2 linked regions of the Mus musculus genome follow. The protein of the gene in region 1 interacts with the protein of each later gene in a biochemical or structural test. Links are inferred from orthologs where the notes say so. Each region holds a gene or a part of one and is shown on either strand. Other genes may lie near its edges.

Region 1 (3,886 bases):
ACAGTTCACCTGTTGTCTTCTCCCATACACAGGCATTGCAAAGGCTGGGCCTACTTTTGGTCTCCTGGTTCCAGCTTTCCTTACTCTCCTAGGAAACAGTCTAACCTGAGCGTGTGATGACTAGAGTGGTAGGGTATGAAGTGTTCTCTATGTTATGATATATTTAAATTTGACTTAGATGAGATATACATTGAAGTAAAAAGTAAAAAAGTATTTCTTATGTAAGATGGAGGAAGGAGCCATTATATCACAGTAATGTCCGACCCATAATCTCTTTTCCCTCATTAAGCAGTCTTCCTTGCATAACTTTCTCCAACAGTAGTCTTTCCCTCCTTTGATACAGAGAGTACTCCTATGCGCACTTCGGACGTGGACTATCGTCTCTTAGAGGCATCGAAAGCTGGTGACTTGGAAACTGTGAAGGTAAGTCAGCGCCTTCACCAAGGCTGTTGGACTCGCGCTGCCCACCTCACTTAAATGGATCTAAACGAAGGGACTCATAGTAGAACAATGGGCAGGGTACATCTACACAAAGAAGAGTACTACCAAGATTTCTCCTAGTATGTCCTTATAGCACCTAAACCATAAAATAAAATAAGATAGACACATACATTTTTATTACATATAATAGCATGAACTTTACTCTATATGTGCATGCATGAGCATGTGTGCACATGTGCCATGGTGCATATGTAAAGTCAAAGGAATCAGTTATCTCCTTCCACCACGGGCAACCTGTGAATTGAATTCAAGCTGCCGGGCTTGGCCGAACGTACCTTTACTCCCATGAGCCATCTTACTGGCCAGAACACAAATTTTAATTTCATATATTTGTGTGCAAGTAGGCAAAATGTGCTTTCAAGTTGCTAAACAATGCATTCACATTAAGAGAAAATTTTATTTTTGACAGTGGAGTGTAAGTGTCTAAAGAAGGCATACAAATTGAGAATTAGGTCTGGTATGTTTTTTCTCAAAAGCTAAGAAATAGAAGTTAGCTGGGTGTGTTAGCTCATGCCTTTCATCCCTTCGGAAAGCCGAGCCATGAGGATCCTTGTGCATTCTGGGATAGCCTGTACTATAAGAGTGGTGCTCTCTCCTCCCCTTCCTCTCTGCTTCTCTGTTTAAAGTATTTTAAAATTTGAAAAACAGGATATAAAATTGTTCTGACATTCATCAAAGAATGACTAGAATCACAAAATTGTGGGACTTAGAGAGCACGTGTCTCTTGACCCACACTCAAGGAGACGGGAACTCTCTTTAGGTTCTTTGGTTCCATGTAGTCAGCTCAGGTTGGTCTGATTTGAGCAGAGACCAAACTAAGCATACCACAGGATGCATCTGTGAGGAGTCTCAGGGAGGGAGGGAGATGGACATGGATGAGACGGGAGGCTTCCTTGGCTGCCCTTGGATATCGGTTAGGTTAGGGACTGGACTAGGGTCTCCAACAAATACTAAATTCCTCTGTACACTCAGCTCTGCTGTCACAGTAATGCCAAACATAATGCAGATTCTCCTTTGGGGCTTTCTGAAACATCATGTGGCCCAGACTGCCCTCAGACTCACTGCGTAACCCGCACTGGCCCCAAATTGGAGGTCATTCTCTGTCACCTTCTCCAGCTCAGGGACTTTTAGGTATGCCTCACCATGTCTGGCTATGGTGCTGATTTTTATACATCTCATCTGTAGAGAATATTTACTATCTCATTATAGTATTTTAAAATGCTGCCCAGTTTAGAGCAAAGTCTATGAACGATTGTTAATGGTGTTGTCTCTGACTCTGTGTCTGTGTGTACACCACAAAAGCAACTCTGCAGCCCGCAGAATGTGAACTGCAGAGACCTGGAGGGCCGGCACTCTACACCCTTACACTTCGCTGCAGGCTATAACCGTGTGTCTGTCGTTGAGTACCTTCTACATCATGGAGCTGATGTCCATGCCAAAGACAAAGGGTATGTGAATGTGCAAATCCATTCATACTTAGATAAAGTACATAAAATTAAATAAAATCGCATACTTTTTATCTACAGAATATAGCTGTTTTCTTTGGAACAAAAAATTTACAAATGACATACTGCTTTTTTAAATATTGCTGTTTTTAGTGTCGTAGATGCTTTTCTTATTAAAATATATACATGATTCATTTAAATTACTACTTAAATAGACATACATATTGAAATTGAAGATTGAGTCATCGGTCACCCTAAAGTTAGAACATGAACAGTTTGCCTATTACAGTCGGCCAGCTCTGTCCTGAGCTGTGTCCAGCAGCTGGCAGTCACTTGGACTGTGACCATGTCTCTTGGCTCGGTGCCTGGGTGAGGATGCCTTTCCAGTCTGCTCTGGTCATCACCTGTTCTTGCACTGTGTCTTCCAATTTGGTGCATCCTTTCATGCCTGTGTATAGGATTTTATTTCCTTTACGAATATTTTCATGTAATCTGTAATTTACTGTTTATCCTTTCATTATTTTTTTTGCTATTAAAAAATTCTTCTAAGAATTTAATCCATCCCACAATTATAATAGAAATATAATTTCGATTCTGCTCATTTAAGTTATTGACATTTTTATATTAGATGAATTACTTGATACACCAGGTAAAACTTTTAAAGTGGCTACTTATAAATCTAAGAATAGTAACCAAAATCAATTTCTGTATCCTGAGTCAGTTTAATAGCTGCTCAGATGAGGGGGCCCCATTTTGTGCACTTACTCAGCATTGCGCCATAAGTAAAAAGATGTAGCTCAGGCTTTGAGTAACTGTTAAGTGTTTTATCTTTCTCAAGCCATGCACCATGCATGACGATTCAGAACCCCTCACTGGTTGTTTCAAAGTACTGCAATGCGTTGGAGAGCAGCCAGTGTTGCTTCTATGACTTAGTTTAGTACTGGCATGTGTCATCATCAAGCCTTTGTTGTAGATGACACTAATCTCTAAAGAGTCACTGCATAACTGATTGTTTTTACATGTCCTACGTCCACGTACGCTGCCTTCAGTGCACGGCTCTTGAGAGGGTGTCTTTTTTTGTGCTGCCTTTTAGAATGTCACCTGCTTTCTTTGAAGGAGCTTACTCAGAAGATGAGAGGTTTAGATTCTCTTAGCTGAGTAGAATTTATAATTGAATTTTATTTTCCTTGATGATATTCTTCTTTTTTAGATGGAGTTTGTTTGAGACAAAGGTTTTCTGTATCTCTGGCTGGCCTGAAACTTGCTATGTAGACCAGGGTGGCTACAAATTCAGAGAGATCTTCCTGCCTCTGCCTCCTTAATTCTAGGATTAAAGGCATGCACTACTATGGCCAGTGTGAATTCTCTTCTGAAATCACTTTGAGTTTCCATTGCTTTGTACCTCAATATTTAAGTCATGCAGAGAAACCGCTCTCGAATCATTATGAACTTAAAAATAACTAAAACAAATGGTGAAAGATACAAACTGAATAAGTAGAATGTATTGTGTTTATGTGTTATATATTACATTATTTTATATTGTGTATCATGAGTAAGCTGGCAATTTTCATTAGTAAAATACAAATCAAAGAAAATCTGAGAGATGATAAAAAGTAGATTGGTTAATTATGTGTGCTAATACTTTGTAGTATACAGGACTTTATATTGCTAGGGTACAAGTAAGAATTGAAAGGATTGTGTTACGCAGACCTGGGGTCCCAGCCATTTGGGAGGCTGAGGCAGTAGGATTTGAACTTGGTGCCTGCTTGGCTTATGGAATGAGTATAGGAAAACCTATATTTAAACTGAGAGGTCTGGGTGTGTATAGCTCAGTGGTAGAGTGCCACTAGCATGCGGGAGACCCTGACTCTTAATCCTAGTGCTACCAGAAATAAAGTATTTTTTAAAATTCTATGAGTGATATACACACACACACACAC
Region 2 (4,423 bases), on another chromosome or scaffold:
ATTCTGCAGCTTATGGACATGGCCTTGGTTACCTGGGGCTCCTGGCTGGGGCCTGTGTACTGTAACCGCCTCCCCTGTTGGGGACTCGGAGCCTGTTTTCATCTCTGCAGCTCTTTCTAACCTCAGAGGTGTCCATCAAGCCCCTATCTCAACCGCAGGTGAGAGGGTTTTTCTGTTTTGGACTAGTTTTTCTCCATTTCTAACCACCTTCACCATATCCCTTGTAATAATGTTCAAGGACAAGCAAGCAATCTTGTATATATTTTTAATTTAATTTAATTTTTCTGTCATCTCTCCGCCTTCAAGCGTTATTCACCCACATACAAGGAAAACAGCCCCTGGTAGTTGGCTGATCAGCCTTTTGACATTGACGGAGTTACTGTCTGTACCCTCTTTAAATAAGCTGGGACAGGGTCAAGCGGATGGGGACATCTTTTGCAAAGGCTGGGCACCACAGGTCTCTTAGAATTGAGAACTGTCTTCTCAGAGCAGCTGGAGTGGGAGGGGAGCCTTGAGGTTGGAGAGGGTTGGGTTGCCCTCCAGGGCTCTGTGCATTCCATGTGTTTGGCATGTCTCCCTTGCTCTTGAACCAGAGGAGCAGTGTTCACTAGTCACCACCAGAGCCGGAGGGGGGGCTTGAGAGTGGGAGGGTGCTTCAGCAGCCAGGGTGGGAACTGAGGGGGTGGAAGGCCTGAAGAATTTGAGGTGGGGGGGACATGAAGGAATGGTCTAGAGACGCAGCCTACGGTAGGGGGAGAGGTAGGTAGAGGTGGTTACCAAGGATGCTAGTTAGCTCATGGGAGACACTGAATGGAGTCACATTAATAATGGCCAACTGTTACTTACCACTTCCAGGCTTGGTATTTTGCATGCATTGTTTGACTTGAAACTCATTTAATACTTTTTTTTTTTTTTAAGCAGTATGCCTTAGACTAGTCGCACAGCTCTGAAGTGACAGACCCATTTAGTTGTTAGATCTTACAATATCAGCTCCAGAGGCTCCTGGCACAGGCTACTACCATGTGGCTATCATCTGGTTTAGTTTCTTCTGACCCCTCAAAACTCCTTTAGGGTGCACACCCATTCCTATGTCACAGGCTTTTGCAGGTCCCTCCCTGACTGTCCTGGAAGGGGCAACCCCAGGGAGTTTTCCTCTCAGTTACACCCCCCACCCCACAAGCAATCAAGCCCAGTCTGTCCTCCCTGCCCATCCTGGGCCGGCTCCTCCTTCCCCTTGGCTAGGCCCTGGAAATCCAGTGGGAGGCCATTGCTATGGTAACAGGACTAGGCCCTGGCTTTACCTCATCAAATTCCAAGCTGAAGCCAAAACGATTGAGAAATTAAAGGGAAAAAAATGTATTCCAGATGCTTACTTTTTATTTCTTATGTCCCTGTGTTTGGATGAGACAGCTCTTGAGTGCTGGAGGGGGGCAGGGATGTGAAAGGAGAATGGGGGGGGGGTAGGGAGCCACTCCCAGCCGTGGAGGGAGGGAGGAGAATGGGAAGAGGGGGGCCGGCTGTGGGGCGGAGCCCCAGGTTGGGGAGGAGCGGGTTTTTCCCGTCCCATGAGGTGATTCCAGAGACTTGAGAGTTTCTGGCCTTCTTGCTCCGCTCAGAGTGGACACCTCTAGTGGGGCTCCCTGACCCGAGAGGGTTGCCTCAGGAGCTGTAAGTAGGGTATCACAGGACGGATCCTGGGGGTGGTGTGGGTGGAGGTGGCTCCCTCCTGTGCTGGATCACTGAGGTTCAGAGCCAAGGGTTGGAGAGTCGTGTCAAGAGTTGAGGATGTGGCTGTGGGAACCTTCCCGGCCTCCCCCTGGAGTTCGCTCTTCCTGTCCCACACTGCCTGGGTTAGAAATAGACTTCCTTGGCTAAGCCTGTTGCCTTTCTCAGCTTTCCCTTCTCCACCTCTCCCTTCCCTGGGTCTTCAGTCACTTCGGCCGGCTCACACTGCTTCCTATTTCTCAGGCAGGGTGTGCCCTATGTGATGAAAGGATCCACTCTCAGGGAAGGCACAGCCATGGCTTCCCCACTGCCCCAGGATATGGAGGAGGAGCTGGCGCCTGTTGGCTCCGAGCCAGGTACCAATGGGTGCTGGGTGCAGGGTGGGGCCGTTGGCTGGGAGGAGGGCCGGGGGTGGGGTGGAGGCTGCACCCCTCTTCCGTCCCGGCAGGTAGCTGGAGTGACAGTGGAGGTGAGAGGCAGTGAGTCTGAAATGAGTGCTCACGGGCCTTGGCATCTGGTGGGAGTGAGGTAGAGCCCCAGCCGGTATGGAAGCAGAGCCTTTGAGACAACTCCAGGGAGCCTTGGAGGAGGAGACACTGAGGCACAGAAGGAGAATGGAGTGCCCTTCTTTCTCCCTGTCTAGACTTTTTAAATGCTTAGCTGAATGAGTGGGTGATACAAGATTCTATTATAGAAGGTTGTGGCCGTGAGTAATTCCCAAGGTCTTTTATTTGGCATTACAATGCCTTATATAGAAGGTGGATTTCTGCCCTTGTTTTTTTTTTTTTTTTTTCCTTCTTCCTTCCTGTGGCAGATTTACTTCTGTTTGACATAGGTCAATAGAAAGCTTGCATTCCTGATAATGAACTGGATGACTGAGGTGGCAAGAGGAAGAGGTGCAGCAGGGTGTACAAGGGGAGCTCAGCTAGGGTCAAAACTTCACTATGGAAATGTGGTGTAAAGAAATAGGGCTCCATCGGGTTCCCAGGCTGACAGTATGGTGAGGCCAGGCAAGTGGGTATGCTTATCTGCTCCATTCATTCATTCGATAGGAACCTGTGTTAGGAGCAAAATAGGATGCTAGAGGGATAAGGGGTCAAAGCCCACGTTGTAGGAGTTTGGAGAAGGTAGGCTATATAATGGGATGTGAAAAACCAAGGAAGCCTTCCTGGAACAGGCGGTACTGACTTGCACCTAGAACGATGGGTTCCAAGGTTGGAGTGTGGAAGATTCGGTGCAGCAGGAGTCACAAGAATTTATGTCTCATGGTTCTTCTGACAGTTCCTAATGAATCCTTCCTTCCGAAGGTGACCCACGAGCCAAGCCCCCTGTCAAGCCCAAACCCCGGGGCTTGCCCAGCAAGCCAGCTCTGCCTGCCAAACCCAGCCTCCTGGTGCCTGTTGGGCCTCGCCCTCCTCGGGGTCCCCTGGCTGAGCTGCCTTCTGCCCGGAAGATGAACATGCTGGCAGGACCTCAGCCCTATGGGGTCAGCAAGCGTCCCCTCCCGTTTGCACCAAGGCCTTCAGCTGAAGCAACCGCTGGAGGAGACGTTACCCAAGAGTCTGGGAAGGAGGATGCTGGGAAAGAAGACTTGCCCCCTCTCACACCCCCAGCTCGGTGCGCTGCCCTGGGAGGTGTGAGGAAGGCCCCTGCCCCTTTCCGTCCCTCCTCTGAGCGGTTTGCAGCCTGTACAGTAGAAGAAATTTTGGCCAAGATGGAGCAGCCACGGAAAGAGATCCTGGCCAGCCCTGACCGCCTCTGGGGCTCCCGCCTCACTTTTAACCACGATGGCAGCTCTCGATATGGCCCCAGGACCTATGGTGCCCCCTGCCCCAGAGAGGAGGATAGTAAGTCCCCTGCCAAAGGACGGTCCCAGGAGGGGACAGCAGAGATTCCTGCAGAGTGCCAGGAAGAGCATAGCAAGACTCCTGAGGAGAGGTAAGGGCTGAGAAGAGTTTGTATAGTTCCTTGAAGTCTTAAAGGGGCTATGGAGGAAGTGGGCTCAAGTTTGGGTTATCATCTTTACTGTCAGGTTACTTAGGTGAATTCAGGCAAACCCAGGCTAAGGCCCAGAGCATCTCTGTAGCAAATGGTGGAGTTACTTCTCTCTCTCTCTGTGTGTGTGTGTGAGTCTGTGTCTGTGGTGCATGTGTAGTGTTAGGAATTGAACCCAGGGCCTTGTTCATGCTAGACAAGTGCTTTATCATTGAGCTACATCCCCAGCCCACTGTAGTTCTCTTTACAGAGTTGATACGTGTTATGCTAGAGAGGCATACTATTCAGCAGACTAGTTTGTAGTCCATTGAGTACATATCCGTGCTATTTGGAGGAAGGGATTGATAAGTCCATTTTAGAGATTGGAAAATCAAGGCTCCAGAGTGACTTCCTGGAGTCTCTCAATTTAAATCCCGATGTGTATGATTCTAAAACCTGTGATCTTAACTGCTAGGTCTCATGTGGCAGAGCACCATGCGGGGACCTCAGGGAGGGGTATGTTGGAATCTGTACAGTACAGATTTCCCCTCTGAGGAGGAGTGTGATGCGCTTCAACTAATTTCTGCATAGAGAATTCTTCTATTTGGAGACATTTTCTCAGTTGCACTTCTTACCCATAGCCGGCCTGCATGTAAGGGAGGCCTCCTTGGGTTAGTGGACACATGATCTGGAGGGACATGAGGGATTTGGCCACCTCAGGCTT

Evidence for each region. The genes of interacting proteins can lie anywhere in the genome.
Region 2: the proteins of Tnks (region 1) and Tnks1bp1 form a complex in vitro, tested with the Homo sapiens proteins (2 studies listed by BioGRID). The link is inferred for Mus musculus from reciprocal best matches to the Homo sapiens genes TNKS and TNKS1BP1.

What each region holds. Positions count from the first base shown.
Region 1 is NC_000074.6:34,853,991-34,857,876, reverse strand, and holds part of Tnks (poly [ADP-ribose] polymerase tankyrase-1), read left to right. Parts: intron 1-343; coding exon 344-423; intron 424-1,803; coding exon 1,804-1,949; intron 1,950-3,886.
Region 2 is NC_000068.7:85,048,893-85,053,315, forward strand, and holds the start of Tnks1bp1 (182 kDa tankyrase-1-binding protein), read left to right. Parts: upstream 1-1,567; 5' UTR 1,568-1,668; intron 1,669-1,968; 5' UTR 1,969-1,987; coding exon 1,988-2,081; intron 2,082-3,032; coding exon 3,033-3,663; intron 3,664-4,423.